Mytilus edulis: one gene and its partner. The protein of the gene in region 2 interacts with the protein of the main gene of each other region in a biochemical or structural test. Links are inferred from orthologs where the notes say so. Each region holds a gene or a part of one and is shown on either strand. Other genes may lie near its edges.

Region 1 (10,871 bases), on a different chromosome or scaffold from region 2:
GCACAAACACCATTTTCCAAAAGACCTAAAAGTAAAAAAAAGTATATTTAAACAAAACGCATTTGACTAGCAGGTTGAACAACTGATGTTCTTTAACCCTGCTGACTGCCATTGGCGATTACCAAATAAAATTGATCACGAGATGTAACAAAATGGATCTTGATATAAATTTAATACTAAACAGAAAACAATAAACTTGTGGCCCAGATGTTATGCCACAAATATAAGGTGTCAATATTTTTTTTGTACACCAGATCTAGATTTCAACAATATATGTCTCTTCAGTGATGTTAGGGATCGAAGCGGTATTTGGAAGGCCATATTATTAACCCTCAATTTAAGATAGACTCTTGAATTTATATATACAACTCGTCTAAACATCAACCCAACAATGTTAGATCTGTAAATTTGCATTCGCAAATTTTTTGTTCTCCCCTTGCCGGGATTCAAACCCATGCTACTGAGATATCGTGACACCAAATCGCCTGCACTGTAGCCATCCCCCTAGACCATACGACCACCTGGGCTTCATAAAAATGAAGCTGTGAGTGGCCGGGTGTTACCTTTCCACGTCAGTTTTAAACTAGCGTCGTACTACAGTACATGATATATAACATGTATAAGGCATGGAGATGTTATTTTTACAGATCAGCTGAATTATCTATAGCGAACGATCCTTCAAATTAATTTAAGATACAATCACAGAAATAATTATATTTATAAGTACCTCTGAACCAGTGACAACTCTACAACAGATTTATCCATCGGATCACGGTCACTAGCAGTGATTGTGATACATGGCTGTGTACAATCTGTATATATATACAACTCGTCTAAACATCAACCCAACAATGTTAGATCTGTAAGTTTGCTTTCGCAAACTTTTTGTTCTCCCCTCGCCAGGATTTGAACCCATGCTACTGAGATATCGTGAATAGTGATATTGGAATGGATATCGTGACACCAAATCGCCTGCACTGTAGCCGTCCCTCTAGACCACACGACCACCTGGGCTTCATATATTTATATATATTCAATTTATGTTCAGTTCATAAGGCCATTCGTCACTCAGCTTTAACAAGAATTGTTGAAGATTTAGTTAAACTATTAATATGGATCAAGGAAACTACACTGGAGTTGTTTTCTTAGACATGTTAGACTTTAAAAAAAGCTTTTGACATTGTAAATCAATCAATTTTATTATCAAAATTAAAAATGTATATAAAGTTTGATTCTCTTTCTTTTGAATAGTTCAAAATAATATTTTATCAAACAGGTCTCAATACATGCAATAAGTAAAAACAAATACCAACATATCTTCAGGAAAAAAAGTCACATTTGGTGTACCGCAGGGAAGACTTCTAGGCCCTTTACTATTTCTTTTATATATCAATGATCTCAACTAAATCATACATCTATAGGGTTATTACAGAAAATATATATCTTACATTTATGTTATTTCATATATTTTCATGAGCTGTCTTCTCTTTGTTATTTGTAAAATAAATCATAAATATTTTAATTTTTAGTGGGCTCATGAAAACTCTTGAATACATGTATTTGCGCAAAAACTAAATGCATAGCCATAGCCTTGATAACTAATTATACGACCCGTATATTGCTATCACGTCATCTTCCTTGATAAAATAACTTTAGTAATAGTGAATAGAAATCTATGAAACTTAAACACAAGGTTTATAACCACAAAAGGAAGGTTGGGATTGATTTTGAAGGTTGTGGTCATAACATTTTAGGAATTAGGGGCCAAAATGGGGCCCAAATAAGCATTTTTCTAGTTTCCAGACAATATTTTATGGAACAGTGTGTGGATCTCTCTGAAATTTATGGTTAATATTAAACCAGAAGGTTCCATATCAAAAAGGGATGGTTATGTATGGCTCTGGGGGGTTATGGCTCAAACCGTTTAGGAATAAGGGGCAAAAAAGGGAGAAAAAAAGGATGTCCTGGTTAATGGACAATTACTATTAAGTAAAATTTTTCTAAATATACAATATACAATCTAATGTTTAACGAGGCCAGGATAAGGTACCGGTACTTTCTGTATCAAACTAACAAATGTGAAAGTTTTCAATAAAGTATGTATAATTTTAAAAAAAATAAAATTAGAATACACTGCAATGGGTAATTATGGTTACGAACTCCATTGGAAATTTGAATTGAGATTTTGACCATATCTTGAGGGAAAGAATTGTTCTTTTGGAAAGGTCGGGGTGGGGGGGGGGGAAGTGAACAAAGTTTAATTTTGGATCAACTTCAAAATTTGGACGATGAGCATAGTGACAATACAATGGAGTCATGGTTCGATCGTCATTAACTTGCAAGAATATTCATAATGTTGACTGTGGGCAGTATTTTACTATTTGGAAGAAGAACTGGTATAGAAGGCCTAATAATGTCTTATATTAGCAGTAGCAACTAGCAAAAGCAAGACAAGATCTACATGTAACTAACATATATATATTACATTTGTATTACAGTCCTAGCAGATTCCTAGGAGGATCTTATCAAGGTCATGGTGAGAACTTAAAAACTATGAAATAATGAATATTCAAGCTGACCATACATGTACCATAACCTCAACACCAACTTATATTTCTCTATAGATCGAAGTAACTAAGAAGACAACACAATTCACAAAAATCATTTACAACACAAACACTGAAAATCAATAACGTTACCGCTCAGTGTTCTCCTCAGGATTTTTCTTAGGCGCAAAATTCAAGGGCACGTAACTCTTTTTTATAACTTTAGCTCGATTGGGATTAGGGAAAGCAATAATATCTACGTATACCATGTATACTGACAGCTGAGTGTAGACATATCAGAGGTGTATTTCCCTTTTCATTAGAAGTCATTGGTCTGAAAAAATACTTCTACTTTCATCATCTGCCTTTTGCTTAGAATTCACCCCTTTGTTATTTGCAGAGAGCATGTTCATTCAGAATTAATAAAATCGAATATGGTTAAGATATTTGGTAGACACTAAAACAAAAATATTTTAATGAACAGCAAATGATCTCAGCAACTTGACCATTTTCCGTAGTTTGACATTTATTTACGCTTCCGTGTGCATTATTGTTAAACCTATCGTTGGCAGGTAGATATAAACGAAAATCGTTAAAGTTAAGACCATTTAAAGTATTTACCGGTGACATTATACAGAAGCAGCGGCAATGCTGTACCCGTGTTGATTGTCACATATTTCCCGCACAGATTCACGATCGATGTTTAAAGATCATTTTATTTCTAAAAATATGACAGTTTGAGACGAATTTACCTTGCAAGCAACATTTTTCACTTTCAATTAAAATGAATCACTCCTTGTTAATATCATTAAACAAAGTTTATTTTAATTTTTTCAACTACAAATACTCTCATTCATAATTTTCATCGTAAATATCTTTAGCAATGTGTATTCAAATTTACCACGTGTATTGAACACGTTCATTGGTTGTGTTGAAATAGATTCTTCTTCTCGACCAATGAAAAAAAATTCAAGTTTTTAAATTTTAAAATTTTCTTCTAAAAATATCTATCTTCTTGATGATCATTTTCGCTATTACATGATAACAGAGTCAGATAAGGCTGAGATTAGCGTGGCTCAGGTAAATCTACTTATCAGATATTGCGTAACACTGACTGACTTCTCAGCGATGATCTCAGCAACTTGACAATTTTAACCAACATTTATTATGAAAATGTGAAATGTACACGCTGCGGGATCAAGTATCAAGGGACAGCCGCCAATTCAGACGCTGCGGGATTTACGAAAATATTATGAAGGCGCTGTGGCACCGCAGCGTCATATCGGCCTGGGGAGAACACTGCCGCTGAACTTCATGCTTGACTTTGGAAAAGCGAGGCTGAGTTTTAAATTTATATAACTTTGAGAAGACTTGCTGCCTTCAGTCAGAGCTCAGACATAAACAAGTCTATTTCTGTTTTTGACTTAAAGAAGTCAAAACATGTATTCTTTATAAAAATGTGTTTTCAATTTTAGACTTATCTAAGTCACAAAATGACAGACTTGTTTAGGTCTATTTATGTTGATGAAAAAACTTAACTTGACTTGGTGGCCAAAATACACCACCTTTGACAGTAAAAACCTGTCTGAGAGTTCACAAGGACTTGATCTATCTATATTTAATTATCTAATTGAACATCCTTACTAAACACAGAGTTTTACCTCATTAAGTGTGGATCCAGGTGGTTGCATTGTAAGGTTAATTAACATGATCCCCGATTTTTCAGACTCTCATTCATATTTTTCTTTAGAAGACAAGGCATTGGCTTTCAATGTTGTCATTATTTGATTTAGATGCATGACCTTTTTATAAGTATGCGTGGGTCTTGAAGTTGACCAATTTTGGTAACTTATCGACTTGTAGGAGTTGATATTTGCAACTTTTTGATTCTGGTCAATCATTTCTTGCTTAACAATATTTGACTTATTTAAGTCGTATTTTGTCTTGCATTAAAGGGAGACAAATCCTAAAACTTACAAATTTAGACATCTATAAGTCAAAAGCAGATTCAGACTTATTTATGTCTGAGCTCTCTGACTGTGGCCTTGCCTGGCACTGGGCTAAGTTTTCTCAGGACCATACACATTCAATAAGAATTTCGGAAAAGCACATTCAGAATGTGGCGGTTTTTAGAGACAGAGTATTTGTGAGTACTCATTCGTTCCTTAACCTACAAGACAGTGTTGGTAACGTCTCTATAAGTATAATTTAGACACTAATTTCAGTAATTCTCAGATCTGCAGTGACATCACAACATGTAACTGAACAATCAATGATTAGCATATGTGTTATATAAACAATGCTGAGAGGTGATGCGGATAAGAATCCTCTAGATTTTCCATACACTTCAATGCAATTAATTTAATTGATATATATTGACGGCAGTTGAATCTAGTAATTTTACCCACTTAATATTGTTAAAGACACTATATATAATATCTCCATTTTGATTTTTATCATACTATATCCTCTGGTTAAAAAATAATCAACAATATAAATAATCAGTTATCACCTTCAAATAGATGAAAAATCTAGAGGAATCCTATCTGCATCACCCCTTGAAAAAATTAAATGCCAGGATGTCCGGATCTGAGAATAAGAAAACAAGTAAGTAAGACAGTAGGAATTATAGTTATTTCGTACCATTGTTAACTGTAACCAATGTTAACTCTTACCACTTAAAACAAATACAAAGTTTATATACATACAAGCGGGATACGGGAATCTGACAAAAGCTTTCGGGTCGATCCGGCCCAAGTCGATCCGTTCCACGTCGATCCGGCCCCACGTCGATCCGGCCCCACGTCGATCCGCCCATATGTAAAGTCGATCCGGCCCCAATAAAAAATATATTTATAAGGAATAAAAATAAAGATATATATTAATTGTAATTCATAAATGTTTATGATTTTTATTATAATGTAAAAGGTGTACGGTAAATAAAAAAAAAGGCCTTTGAAAAATATTTTCTTTAGTGAGTATAAAACAACTAGGTTGATTATGTTTTTAGTACAAGTTTTCAAGATTATTTGGTATAATTATATTAAAACGTATATAAAAAATTCAAACATCAACATTAATCAGCAGTATTTAGCATTTTCTTTCAATTGACTGTGATCCTAACAAGTCTTTCATCTTGTGTAATAACAAATAGTTACATACACAACGATACAAGCCAATTCCCAAGCTGTGACTTTTTGTCCTACCAAATTTGTGACTTTATGTCCTGTGACTTTTTGTCCTGTGACTTTCTGTCCGTTTACCGCTGATACATAACCACAAATATTGTTTTTCTTTAAAGTTCTTGAGAAATGTTGTTTGATTTGCTGATTTTATAAATACAATTAGTTATTATTATATACACCAAACAAAAGATCAAACTATAAAGAACTTGTTGATTACGTAACTTTTCGCAAATTCCGTTTATACTGTTCAAATTTGTCACAAATTCCTCCATACAATGAATATAGTTTATTCATATTTTATTATGGGGCCGGATCGACTTGGGGACGGATCGACGTGGGCCGGATCGACTTGGGGCCGGATCGACTTGGGGCCGGATTGACTTGGGGCTGGATCGGTTTGGGGCCGGAACGACCGGATACCTGACAAAACAGTTAGCGGGATCCGGGATCAGAACCCCCCCCAATGAGACCCCCTTGAGATAGTAATTTAATAATGACTACAAAATAAACAATTGGTGGATTGAACCTGGTTTTATAGCTATAGCTTAACCTCTTATTTGCGACGTTGCGTAATAAGTTAATGTCGCGAAGGCAGTATAGACAGTCAAGGTCGTTACAAACTTCCATTTGTGGTAAATTTATGATTTTGTCTGATTTGTTAAAGGGTGGATGTTGGAAAGAATAAACCGTCTATGCGTGTATTTGACCTTCTTGTTTTATCAGAGGATTTTAATACTATGTACGTCCTTAGTGTATGCTGATACATTGTTTACTGGCGTTGTTTACCTGCACGCAGCACGGAGATCGAGTCCACCATTTTGAATTTTTTAATGTGATCACATGGTTTTTTTTACAACTTTTCCCTGTAATAGGAAATATTTTTTTAAGTTTATACTACTGTTGATGTTGAACTACAATTTAGAAGAAAAAACAATTATTTTTTTAATTTTCTAAAACCAAGAAAAAGTTTCAATTCATAAATTTTCGTCACCACAGCGAAGACCCGTATGTAATATGGCGTCCAGTCAACTGTCAGGGAATGTAGGACAGTTCAACTAAATTTGCCTATTTCCTCGATATCGATTGCCCGTGCGCTGACGCACTCCATCCGCATATGCATTGATGGTAATGCATGCAAGGAAACAGCCCAGACTCAGTGATGGGTAAAGATGATTACATTTAATATGATTGTAAAGTCGGTTGGTCCCTTGTTCCGCCATTTTGTTGTCAATATTTACAAAATTTGCATGAAAAACACATGTTTTAATGTAAAATTACACTTCATATGCTATAATTATGTATTTTTGTGTCTTGCAGGTATACAGATAAGAGAGATTCCCATCTGTACCAGGTAATTTGAAGTGAGAGCAATGAACATCAGCATAAAGCATGGTAGAGCCAAACCCAGACACTAGATTTATGTTGACATTGCACTTTAATGTTTGGTTTAAAGCTGATATACAAATAGTATTGCATTTACACATTAAAATATAGTGTTAAATCTTGATGTAAACTAGTAAACTTGGAATGAATTTCAGAAGAATTGGTTTTTGAAAAGTGATTAAATGATTGTAGTGCTCAGTATGACTTAAAAGTTTGTAAATTTTATCAAATTCCTTCATGGTTACCTGTCAGAGTGTCTCAGTATAGATTTTTGGACTGTACACGTAGGTGATGCACATTTTAGTCACCTATTCTTAGCTAACAGAGATTCTCAAAACTTTTCAATATTTGTCATGTAACTTATGAAGGAAATGTTGGAAGTGCATTTTGTCCTAACAATTTAATCTTTTTTCATTTTGGTATAAATAAGTCATTCTAAATTATCTAGAATGTTAACAAAACATGATTCATCAATCTTTGAGGTCCATGCATGCTATCATGATAATTTTAACTTTTAATTCATGTATAATTTGTCCCTTTTTAAGTGACAATCCTATATTTCACTCTTAAAAATCCATGTCCACAAATCTTAGCACTTGCACCATGACTAGCATGTATACTATGCATTTATAATTTTTTCTTAAAATTGTGAAAACCACAGTTTCTCATTTGTGACAAATAATATGTATTTTAAGTGCATTTAACATGTTTCAATTAAAGGGTAAAAAATCCTTGAAGTTTTAGGAAAAGAGAATACAATTTTTATATCAATGGTCTGTCTAATAGTTATGTCTAGCTGTTAGCTGTTAAAAAACTAATGCATACAAATTTTAACCCAAATGTCTTATCAAATTCAAAATTCCATCTAAGGCCTAATAAATGAAGACTTGTGTTTCTGCCTACCTACATGTACCCTATATTTGGTGGTATATTTTTAATAAGTAAGTATGAGGTCAAAAGTGTCCGTTCTGTATAGACGCAGTCAAAAATAAAAAATAAAAATCCTTATCCTTGTTTTTTCACTATTAACATGATTAACATGATTAAGGGGAAACAGAAGTATTATTTTATTGGGCCTAATAAACATTTATATTGTCATTAGAATACATTGGTCGTTTACAGATTTAACAAATGCATTATTCAAGAAAGAAATGGTGTAGATGAAATAGTGAATTACAATGTACCATCTGAGACTTGTAAAATTTATTTTCTGTTTATTTCAGTCATCCCAGTACCCATCCAAAAGTAAAGGTGAAGGGTACAGACAGACAGACCGATACAAACGTGAATCCTCATACGACAGAGCCAGAGATAGTCCATCACGTGATAGTCCCAGATATCACAACAAAAACTCTTATATTGAGAGGACTAAAGAAAGACTTGAGAAAGGTGTGAATTTTTGTTGTTATTTACATGTAGAAACAGTAATACATGTACAATAGATAATAATCTTAACTCACAATAGTATTACTAGTACTAAACTTACATTGTACATTACTAAACAATAATAAATGGATTAACATGTATAACAACATATCTATGGAATTTGATATATATACATGTAGTGTACCAGAGGTGAGTATGAATTAAATTTTTGGAAAGCTTTTGATGTTTTTTAAATGGTTTAAAATAATGATTTATCAACTTTTATGGTACCATCATGACACCGGCGTTTTCAAAGTGATTAATATTCTTTAACAATGAAATGAATGTATAAATTGTAAAAATAAGATGATGTGGTATTATTACCAATTAGAAAACTCTCAATCTGAAACCAAATGACATAGAAGTGACAACTGCATGTCTACACAGAGGCAGATTTAGGAGGGGGCCAGGGGGCCCCGGCCCCCCCTTTTGAGAAAAAAAATTGGTTGCTTATATAGGGAATCACTGAAGCGTGACGAGATCAGCCCCCTCTTAGGCAGCCAGTTGGCCCCCACTTATGAAAATTTCTGTATCCGCCACTGCTACATATACCAATTAACCATGACCAAAACTATGACGCATAAAAAGCTAAGAGAAATGCCATAACAATTTAAACAAGAATGGTGCGGGAAACAAAACCCAAATTTCCAAATGGATATTAAATAACTCAAGTTGTTATCATGTTATCAAGCGATATTCAATTCTTGCTTGTCATGCTTGTTATTGAACATATAAGTATCACACTCTGTGTCATGTCTGAGAAAATTACGTAAATTTGTAAGTTTTAATAGCAAACATATTGTATATAAATTTAATGTAAACTTTATTTCAGGATCAAGTAATGTCAATCATACATCCAGATCAAATGATAGAAGTCAGAATGGAGGACATTTCAAGTCAAATAGCCAAGACAACAGAGATAAGAAGACTGAGGTGAGAAATAAAATACATCACAGTCATCATAGTAGCTTGAAATCTAGAAAAAAAATTATGAACTGACGTCATCACTAATATACCACTACTTTAAAAGTGGGCAGTCAGGGGTACTACTTGTACAAGTGTATTTTATTTACTTGAAGAAGTAAAAAAAAATATACACATATAAGTAAATTTGTAGGATACTTATACAAGTGAATTTTATTTACTTGTATAGGTAAAAAAAAAATTGGCTTAGTTATGTCCCTTAGGCATTCAGAATTTTTTACTTGTATAAGTAAAAAAATCATCCTTTCTTCTTTTCTTGAATTCTTAAAATTTCCTTGCTCTAATAAAATTTTAAATTGTGTACCCTTTGCAGATGCCTTTACTAATCATTTAAGTGTAATTTCATGGACAATGAAAGTCCCATTTGTCTGTTATCTTCTTAACACTGCTCATTTACAAGCCCCAAAGGAGCAATTTTTGAATGTCTTGCGCAAATATACAAGATCTTTGCTCAATCAGTTTCTTTGATGAATTAATGAGATGAAACATTGAACTTTAATGAAAAAATTTGAGCAAACCTGGGAAAAATCATTAAAGGCATGATTTTACATCTCAAAACTTGAGGATTTTTATTGGATTGTAAGAAAAATTTACTTATACAAGTAAATTTTTCATAAAATTAAGGGGAGATTATTCAAACATTATTTATTTACTTATATGTGTATATTTTTTTTCACTTCTTCAAGTAAATAAAATACACTTGTACAAGTAGTACCCCTGACGGGTCTCTTATATTGCAATCACCTTGACTGATCTCAACATGCTCAATGAAATGACTTTTAACCCAAAGTTGTTATGACAAGTAAAGACAATTTTATTGTTAAGTTTTATATCATTGTTGTTAATTTTGATAGCATGTCAGGGCTATTCCAGAAAAAAATGTAGGGGGAGGGGTTGGGGGGTTGGAAGGCAGTTTTTGTCAGCACCCGCCACCCAGACAATTGTAATTGAGAATAATAATGCATTATAGTGTGAAAAGTTGCTCTGATACCCATCACCCATGTATTATTAATATAATGTGCCTTCCAACCCCCCAACCCCATACATTTTTCTGGAATAGCCCTTACAGCAAAATGACTTGAGAATGTTGGTTAAGGTAAATTTTTTGGTAAGCTCACTTGCTTGCTGAACCGTGAGGTCATTATTAGGTTAGGATAATATCCTTTAAGAGTAGAATAATCTCATATATATATATCAAATATATATGTCTGTAGGACTACACTACTCCGAAAGGAGGGTAGTATACCTAATCTAATAATGATTTCATGGTTCAGCTAGCAAGCAAGCTAGCCAAAGATATTACCTTACATCATGTACTGTACATATGTACTTGCACCATACTTTAGAA
Region 2 (10,639 bases):
TGTATGGGGTCTTTGGCTCATCTATTTTCATGTGACCATAGTCCTTATCTGCAGGATGATGGGTGGCTAATATGTTCATTTCATCCCATTTCATTCCTTTTGAATGAGGACTGAAAATAAATGAAATATTCAGTATTTACACTTAGATATTTGTAATCATGGTAATAGTAAAGGACTCTAGGGCTATAAAGGCCATTTTTGGCCCCACCCCCAAATTTCATTTAATTTGCCATGTTGTAACTCAATACCACAGACCTGAAGAAAATGATTGCATTTTGGGTCTATCTCGTATATTTTGGCGGAGTTAAATATGCTTAATATACAGCTAAAGTCTATCTACATTTGAAATTAAATTTGTTTAGCATGTAGTGAACTTTTAACAAATACAGGTGTTCTTGCTCATCATTAATTGTTGGAAATCAAGCCTTTTGAACTTTAATAGTGCTCAAGCACAACTAAAAGTTAATGTTTGTTTACATTGAAATAGGAAGCGGTACATTTTAGCCTTGAAGAAAGCTGACAATAATTATACACAATATAACATTCTCAATCATGTTATCATAACATATTTTATAAATCTAAATAAAAATTCAAATACATTGTGTACATTGTAAACATGGTAAAGTGGAAGAGAATATCATATAATCATGAAAATGTACATTTGTATATCATACATTTTATTGCTGCTGGATATATATAACTCAACTCAGCCTATCACAAACTTGGACTACAACTAACTTGAACTATCATTATCTACATTGTATATGAAATACATGTTACTGTTGTAATTAGGTGAACGAACTCAGACTAGGATATTTAGATTGTGTTTTTAACTGTTTCTGGAAATGGCAACACATTGACCATTCTGGAATGGTAACGACACATTTACCAATCTGGTGTGGCATCAGTATATTTTTTGGGGGGTCGTATGGATAGTCAACTCAGCAAATACACCTTATGGCTATTTGTCCCCCATTACTGGACACCACACAGGTTCCTGTTAAATTTTGATGTCATAATGCAAAATAACTTACGCCACAATGGAAAAGTGATTGTTGTATGACGTCAATCAGAGCTCCAGATAAGAATTCACAAATTGGGGTTTTTACCCACCATTTTTTTTATGTAATTGGGTGATAAAGTTTTTTAATTGCATTATCAATTCCAGTTCACCCCTCAAGCAAATACCAAATTGTGTTTTTCACCACCAAGCTCCTTAATGTATTGGTTTTTTTTTATCACAATATTGAATATTAAGGCATGTTATAATCACATTATATCAACCCCAAATGTTTTTCCATCTTAAATATGTTTCTTTCTTTGTATATGTGCTAGCTGTTTTATTTGGTTTGTTCACTGATGAGCAATTGTACGTTTAATTTGTGTCCTGTTTTCAACCTTCTGCCAGTTTTGTATTTTCTCACAACTTATATAAACTGCAGCTGGTGTCACTAGTTGGACAGTAACTTTCTTGATCCCATATGAGCACCCTACTATACAGTTTAGTTGGGGTAGGTGTTGCCTAAGTGTTTAGATTTGTTTGTAATATATGTGAAATTTAGGTGCTGTCAGAAAGTTTTGCCAGTCCTTTCACCTATTTGTCAGATCTACTTTTGAATAGAAATATTAAATAGTTCCCAGATTTAAGATATACCAAAAAACCTTTAGCAGGTTTATAGTGTGGTTTAATGACGGAGACCACATTCAACTTAAATTTACAAATATATATATATATATATAATTCCGTTGGAACTTTTCAACTAGTCACTTTGTTCCGACGGAACTTTTAAACTGGAGGAAGAGCAAAGTAACTAGTTAATAAGTTCCTCTGGATCTTTTTGGCTAGTTAGTTCTTTCCGCCCGGAACTTTCCAATGTCGGAACAAAAGAGCATTTACATATATATATTCACTCATCAACTAAAATGAAAAAAAAATACATCAACTAAAATTATACTTGAATGTTTTTGTTTAATTTGATCAACATAAATCTGGGTTAAGTTGTCCCATATTTGAACTTTTGGTTTCCGATGCTTTCCAAATACATATCATGTCATAATTGATTTTGCCTTTCACTTTTTCAACCAATTTCATTCTTGACGAAACCCCGTGTTTTAATATCGTTCTAGCAATGTTCTTGTTTAGGTACGCAAACAAACCTGTGTGTTCAATGGACACTTCATAAAAACACTAGCTTGTCTTGTTATCATCATAACTTTCCCTCAGCTATCAAAAAGAAGCTGAAAACATGCTCTTATTCAATACTTTACCCTGACGTTTACTTTCGTTTCAATTCATTGTATGTTATGATATTAAAGTCCCGAGCAATTTGAAATCAAACAGCTGATTGCTCTGAGGTGGAATAAGGTGAATTAAAGGTAACTTAAATTACCATAAAAGCAGCCCCACTAACCCAGCCTGCTTTGTTCCATTATCGTTATGACGTATTTATTTTCTTCAAACAAGAATGTGTCATAAGTACATGGATTTACCATCCGTACAATCATTTTCTATGTTCAGTGGACCGTGAAAATTAGGTAAAATCTTTAATTTGGCAGTACAATTAGAAAGATCATATCATAAGGAACACATGCGTACTAAGTTTCAAGTTGATTGAACTTAAACTTCATCAAAAACTACCTCGACCATAAACTTTAACCTGAAGCAGGACGGACGGACAGACCAGAAAAACATAATGCCCATAAATGGGGCATAAAAATAGTAAGACTTGTTACATACCTGCCAACTTTTGAAAGTTCCCATGGTTTTTTTTAGTGCGTGATAACAATTTTAAAGGTTACAATTTTAAGAGAAGTATTTTGCGCGATCTGGATTGTCTAGAAGAAGTGTCATATTTGTATGATGAGCTTACATGCCTTTTTCTTAAGTCTGTTTTTATGATTCTAGTTATTAAATCAGTAGAAAAGATGAAAATGTAGCTAGCAGAGCAGGATTCATTTTCTTGTGTAAGGAAATTAAATGCTTGTTGAAATTTCCAATTTTGAATTATTCACAAAGATGGACCTTTAACAGGTTGGGAACAACACTCCTCATTGGAAGAACATTACAACCCACTGTAAAAATTAGCACCTTTATATTCATATTATTTGATGAAACTTTCCCCCAAGAACTATGCATCTATCAAGTATTAAATCATGGGTCAAAACATGTCAAAAGAATTTTGTGATGTTTCTGAACATATATCTTCTTTATTAATTTGACCCCTCATTTAGAAAAGTTGTTCCAAATATAATGAATTTTCCCACTTTTGAGTTAAAAATCTTTTAAAAAGTTTCTTTCTTTTTTTTTCTCAGTAAAATGACCCCTTGTTTTAGGGACAGTCCCTCATTTAAGGGACACCACTCATAATGGGGGGGGGGGGGGGGGGGGGGAGTAGGGGGAGTCCCAACCTGTTTGTTGGTCTTTGTGAAAAAAAGAATAGTACATTGTGCTTTAAATGATTTAATTGAATACAAAAATAACATATGTTACAACAAGTATTATGTCATTAAATTAGTGAAAAAACTACTATTTATTATCTTTATGGTAGTACTGCATCATTGAATTATGTCAATCAGCCATGCTTTTATCCTTAAGCTATGTAATAACCTCCTTGCAGATGAAGATTCACCTGGCATGTACACGATTTTACAACTAGATAAAAACAACACAAGTTCAAAATCTAGAATGTTAGAATAATCTTCAGAGAAAACGTTTTTATTGGCTTATTAATTTGATCATGAGAAACATTGAATTTGATTGGCTGAACACGATTGTCTTACCTTGGGAACAAAATAAGGAACAATCATATTTTTGTGATGATTTTCACAAATTCGTGTTTTAAGGTTTTTTTTATGATACCCTTAATATTAATATTTTTCAATTAAACGTCCTTGATAAGAGTAAAGAGAATGAACATAGGGCAACATACTATATGGGCGAAATAACTCAAGACTAACAGACCAAGGGAGAACATGTAAACAGGGCGAGTCGACCCGATAACAAATTTAGGAATGCATACTACAAATACATGTATCTACATGTATCTACATTAAAAACATTACAAGTAAACAAATAACGTTCATGTAGATAAGATGCATGAAATCTAATAATTTACATAAATAAAAGGGTATATATTTACGATAGTGATTGTTTTACAATCCTAACTTACAAATTAAATGATTTAAGTGCTTAATCATGTGTAAAAATCGGTGTCAAGAATCGGAAGTTGTTATGAAATTGTAATACACAGAAACAGATGCAGCATACGGAGGTGGTAATGGTTCAATGATTTTACAGCCGGCACCATAGGCCTTCAGAAGACTTGAAGTCTTCTTCCACCAAAAAATGTGAAAACATGACGAACGCTAATTGGATAAACGCCGAGAAGATCGAAATGATTTCATAAACATGTGTAACTTTTGAGCAACGGAAAATTCCAACAGGGACCCATTTCAGCTACTTGATGCAGGGTTCAGAACTTCTATTATTAGAACAGAAGGACATTTCCAATTATGAATATTCTAAAAATAGATTTATGCGACGAATGTAATCAGAAGAGGGTAAATAACGCAAACGATAGTGAATCAAAGCGTTAAGAAATCATGGTTTTGGCAAATAATTGGGTTTTCCTTTAAATCAATTGGGTTTTTGAAACCTGTAATGGGCAATTGCATTGGGTTTTTAATTATTTGTATTGCGTGATCATGCAAATACGCATCTTATCTGGAGCTCTGGTCAATAGTTCGAGCAGGACAAATGTAATTATATACACCTTATCGCTTATCCCCGCTGACCAGGCCGCTTGAACTTTTGACGTCAACAACAATCACTTTTCAATTGTGGCGTCAGATGTTTTGTTTTATTGTCAAAATTTTACGGGAACCTGTGTGATATCCAGTAATGGCGGACAAATAGCGATAAGGTGTATTGTAACAAAACCCCGAGGTTGACAGTTGTTACAACAGCACAAAAAGTTCATAAATGTGGAGATACAGTTGCACTCTCATTTTAAAAGATCATATCTCATATGACTTAAATAATGGGAGGTAACTCATGACGCCAAATATAAAAATATTCTGCCTTCATATTAAAATCAGAAATGTTGACTTGTTTATGTCTAAGTTTTGACTGTTAAATTTCTGTTTGTGATAAAGCTCAGAGAGGAAAAAGACTATAAATTTATTATTATGAGTCTTGAGGTTACATACTGTTGATGATCTGGTTTGTCAAAGCTAGAAGAGGCTTTCAAAATGCCTTTTGGCTTCTGCTTCACTTCTGAAGCCATTTTGTAAATTTTTGACACAGCAGGATTGCAGTGAATATTAATAGTAGACAATTGATTTGTTATAAGTCTGACAATCTTTATCCATATGGAAATTAATATATCTTTAAAGGTAAATCCATTTTAAATTAGTCAAAGTAAGTTTATAAAATTAATTCAATGTAAATACGTAACTGTCCCGCAGAGTCGACTTCCTGTTTTGCGATTGTGAAACTGAAATCAAAACTCTCTGAAATGTAAAAAGAACTTCGGAAAATTGTGCATAGACACTTAGGTATTCACTAAAGTTACAGTGAACTCTTTTCTATAATGCTAGTTCAACATTTACATTTTAATTTCATGCCATGACAAGTTTAAATAATTTACATTTCTGTAAGTTGTAACAACAAACTGTAATGGTGGTCACTTTGTTTACTTGTCTATATTCTATTTATTTGGGGAAATTGGTTAACTTTAGTATGACTTATAGTTCCGTAACTCTTTCTTCCGAGACCGGCCATGAAATTATCCTTGTCGGGACTTCCTGTTCTGGCACGTGCCCCGCCGGGCTCGTTGTCCATAGGAACTATAAGTATGACGTCACTCACCGGGTTCGGGGCAGTCTACACGAAGGATTTGAAATGAGCAGACGCTCATATCGTTTGGCTTTCAAATATGGAACTTTATAAGGACAAGTAGACTAGCCACCACCGTATTTTAGTATATTTATTTATGTAATCGTATGTTCAATCATAATGTATGTCTTCAAATAAACATCTTGTTTATATTTACGTAGTTTTACGTACTTTGTCTAATATCCCAGAACTTGGGTAGACAACGGGAAAACGAAGCCAGTGGAAACTTCCACTCCCGTTACATTGGGGGCTCGTCCGGGATATTTCAGGACAATAACTAAAACAAACATTTTGTTTGTCATTATTTCGGCAATATGGTTGGAATAAAAGGGATTTTTGTATCCCTAGGAGTCAAAATCGAACAGTTTATTGTTCGTCTTCTTGTCATTTCCGCTGTTTGTGCCGGTCCGACAATGACCAGTACTGCATGCAATATCGTTTTATACAACAAAGTAATAAAAGGTGACTTACTTTCAGAAAAAGAAATTAGAAATCCAGATTTTAAATTCCAAATTGGAGCACAAGGTGAACATTTTGTTCACGTTCCAGAGGAAATATGCTGTTTTTGCATACAAGGAAAACAAACACAACATTTTTGCGTACACCACCACAGCAAAATTATACATTTAACTGCATTTATTCGAAGTATTTTAAAGCTTTTTATGGCTTTTCAATTTCCAGGAAGTCGGCGATTGTTTACGCCATGTTTACAATATGACGTCATATTTTCGACGTCAAAGCACCTGCTATCTAAGGAATGTTTGTATGGAGGAGGTACCAATGGGGAATACTCATTGTCGTTCTAACCATGAAAAAGTTGTTTAATTTGTTAGTTCTGTTTATTGGTTCGTATTCATATTTATTGTCATAAATGGATTTGGAAAATCAAATAATTTGTTTTGATTATACTTCAAATTGTTTTGGATTAAAAAGTACATTTTGTACTTGCATTTCTGTCATGCAGTATTGTCTGCATATCTATGTCTTGTCAGTGTGGATGTTATAACAATTATTTACCTTTCTTGCATGGAAAGGAGGGAATTAACAATTCTCAAAACTTCAAAGTTGAACCGAAAGTCATAGGCTATATTGTGCCATCATGGATTATATACTGGAAATTTGTCCGGTTCATTTTAATATTATAAAAAAGGAGTAAAAGTACAGTTTTGTACTCGAGATATTTATATACATAACACCATCATGATATAATACTATTTATTTTTACTTCGATCTTTTTGGAAATAAACTGAATTATTTCAGTTTGGTGGGATTGTAACGTGCATGAAAATAATACTGAATCTTTTCAGTTGCTAAGCAATGTGGCTTTAGCAAATGTAGAAACTAGGATATAGCGAGGATTTGGATTAAAGTGACATTTTTGTCATACAGCTGGAATAGGGTTGTCTTGTACGAGTTGTGACTAGAATAAAGATAACAGAAGAACGTACACTCATTATCTTAGCTGTTGTTGGAAGCTGCTTTCGGTGGTGTATACAGAGGCAATTTTGGAAATACCTTAGGTGCTAGAATGGCGCGAGAATAGGTATATATTTTGCGTATACATTTTTATTGTAAACCTTAATTGGTTCACCATGGGTATGTTGTCCACATGGCTAAGAATATTGTTTGGGGATTACTGGAATACAATGAATGATTTATTATTACAGTCCAATTGTTTTATATGACTTTCTAATTTTTGAATATATTTAATAAACAAACAATCAGTTTGTATGGATTCCAGTATAGAAATGTGTTTTTATATGGTTAAAGTAATACCATGGGCTATATGCTTTCGGTGACCTATAAAATTACATATTGGGGCACCCGATCAAGTGGTGCAGTGCTTGCGTATATAGACTTTTTAAGACTCTTGGTGAGTCAGGATTTTATAAGAAGAATGTGCTTCTTAATTTATTCCAGTGTCTGACAGAATATAGGTGGTAAAACTGAAACTGTTTCAGTGCGTGGATAGCTGGCCACAATGAGGGAACATATTGGATTTTATATTGGCCTTTTTGCCGATAAGTTTAACGTAACTAAACCACATGGAATTATAAATGTTGGGGAACACTTACTTGGACTACTTTACAGATTTGGAAACTCTACTAGACGAATTTTACCTTATTTACCTACCTGGAACCTTGGACAAGATGTGTGCCTGGATGCTCCGCTCGAACTTTATAATTGGATTCCTTACTCCGTGATGATGTCTCGTGATGTACATGTATTTGTGACTTTTGAACATTAAGTGAATGACCGAATATCTTGAACTATTTTTCAAATTATTTATTGACATTAACAGTAAATTGATTAATTTGTTGCTAAAAATATCTGTCTGTATTCTAAATATTGGTAAGTATATATCTCACCGATCTTTGGAATAATGTGTGGGCACATTATGTCTTAAGAGAGGGGGAGTGTAATGGTGGTCACTTTGTTTACTTGTCTATATTCTATTTATTTGGGGAAATTGGTTAACTTTAGTATGACTTATAGTTCCGTAACTCTTTCTTCCGAGACCGGCCATGAAATTATCCTTGTCGGGACTTCCTGTTCTGGCACGTGCCCCGCCGGGCTCGTTGTCCATAGGAACTATAAGTATGACGTCACTCACCGGGTTCGGGGCAGTCTACACGAAGGATTTGAAATGAGCAGACGCTCATATCGTTTGGCTTTCAAATATGGAACTTTATAAGGACAAGTAGACTAGCCACCACCGTATTTTAGTATATTTATTTATGTAATCGTATGTTCAATCATAATGTATGTCTTCAAATAAACATCTTGTTTATATTTACGTAGTTTTACGTACTTTGTCTAATATCCCAGAACTTGGGTAGACAACGGGAAAACGAAGCCAGTGGAAACTTCCACTCCCGTTACAAAACAGACAGAATGAGAAATTTCATTTTCAGTTTTAAGTTTCAGAAAATTCATCAATAGAAGGCAGGTATTACCTGTGGCCTTTGATCATGATGACAATTTTTTTTAACCATTTGGTCAAAATCATTCACAAAACACTAAGCATTAAGGTAAACATCTTTATATTCTTAGGGTGTCATCTTATTTTTAAAACAGTGAAAAACCTTAATTTACTTTATTTTTTAGCGCACTACAACAAAATCTTTAAAATGGGAGTGAACATGAAAAGGGGCAAACAATCAGATTTAATAAAATGGGTTTTGGTTACAGTGCTGGATCCCAGGCTCTCAATCCTGTCTTTTAGGCAAAAGAAATTTCATTACATTTAAATGACAATTCCCACCCTCCCACACATCTCTACATACCTTGTGCCGTAGTTTAAACTAGAGTGTCGTATTATGCATTAGTTTATTTTCTGTTCAATTTAAAATCAACTTCAAAATTGTTATTGAAAACTGCTTAATTTAATACCTCAAATCAGTACAAACAAAATTTAGTTCAGATCTACATAGTACATTTCTTACTCCACTGATAGTGGTTTAATTTCATGTTTGTCCCCAGCTTAAAGCTAGGGGGCCGGGAGGCAAAGAAATAAGGGGTCAATTTATTTAGCACTCTCATGTGAACATTTTTTTTGTTGAACAAGTTGGAAAATAAATGCCAATAAATAGAAAATTTTTACCAGTACTGTAAATTATGACCTTGGAAATCTTAATAACATATCATGGAAACTTTGCTTTGTAAGCGCTTTTATGTGTACAATTCTTGCCAGAAATTTATGAAACTTTTATCATCATGATCATAGGTTTATGTCAGCGATGCCTTTGACACTTTCTAAATAAGTGACAATCAAATGTTTTTGGGATACGATTGCTTTCAAGCAATCTGTAGAATTTTACCGTTGACTCAGGGCTGCATTCCCTCACGTCAACTGTTTTATTCTAAACATTCAGCAACATCTCAGATTCTTATGATTGTTTTGCTTTAAAAGGTAAAAACAAGCAAAAGCAATGAAAAGGATTGAACATAAACAACTTTCCTGTAATGTTCTTCTCATAATCTTCATGTTTGATATTTCCTTTGACTTATATGCGTGTTTTTAACAACACTTAATTAAGCAGTATTTATATTTAGTGCTTTTATAAATTTAGAAACTCGTCAGAGGGAATTCCCCAGTTTTGATAAATGCGAGAGTTCTCTGACAGATAATTCTATTTCTGTCATATAAGAACTGAAGTGGAGTTTTTCTATATTTTACCGTTATGAAATTGATATTTGATACTGTACTCTCATAAAGAAATGGAGAACCATTCATCATATCATTTAATAAATGTTCTTGTTCCAAATCGCAAGTTGCGGGTTTGTTTATGTATTAATGCGCATGCATATAGTTTTCTTGATTTCAAGGGGTATCAGATTGAGTGGTTGCTCTGGATTCCACGCTTCATTGATTATTTTGAAACTCATGGGATTCTTTCTATGTCTGACAGCTATTGAGGGTTATTGTTGTTGCATAATTTTAAATCATATGCATCATTTAAATTAAATAAATGTAGGTTTACCTATAACACCCCTTCAGCTAAAATGGAGTCTTCCATATTATCGTTTCGAGTATTTCCAGTCAAAATCAAGATACAATACGACTCAAGAAAAATTAACTCGTTAGATGTCGATAAACGTCATATTAATATATTAAGAACGATCTCAATTTAAACAGAGGAGTGTGTACAGAAAGGAGTCATGCCCACTGACCCAAAGGAAATTAATATTTAAAAAGTTAGAAATGGGGTTCCTCCTAGAATTAACGGTGATAAGATACGA

The links. The genes of interacting proteins can lie anywhere in the genome.
Region 1: the proteins of deubiquitinating protein VCPIP1-like (region 2) and WW domain-containing adapter protein with coiled-coil-like form a complex in vitro, tested with the Homo sapiens proteins (2 studies listed by BioGRID). The link is inferred for Mytilus edulis from reciprocal best matches to the Homo sapiens genes VCPIP1 and WAC.

The regions. Positions count from the first base shown.
Region 1 is NC_092357.1:51,365,320-51,376,190, reverse strand, and holds the start of WW domain-containing adapter protein with coiled-coil-like, read left to right. Parts: upstream 1-6,720; 5' UTR 6,721-6,853; coding exon 6,854-6,894; intron 6,895-7,048; coding exon 7,049-7,082; intron 7,083-8,337; coding exon 8,338-8,503; intron 8,504-9,371; coding exon 9,372-9,472; intron 9,473-10,871.
Region 2 is NC_092350.1:31,931,484-31,942,122, reverse strand, and holds the start of deubiquitinating protein VCPIP1-like, read left to right. Parts: upstream 1-5,445; 5' UTR 5,446-5,556; intron 5,557-10,639. Other genes in the region: protein phosphatase inhibitor 2-like, read right to left, coding at 1-110, 5,209-5,285. UniProt on the Homo sapiens protein: Deubiquitinating enzyme involved in DNA repair and reassembly of the Golgi apparatus and the endoplasmic reticulum following mitosis. Necessary for VCP-mediated reassembly of Golgi stacks after mitosis.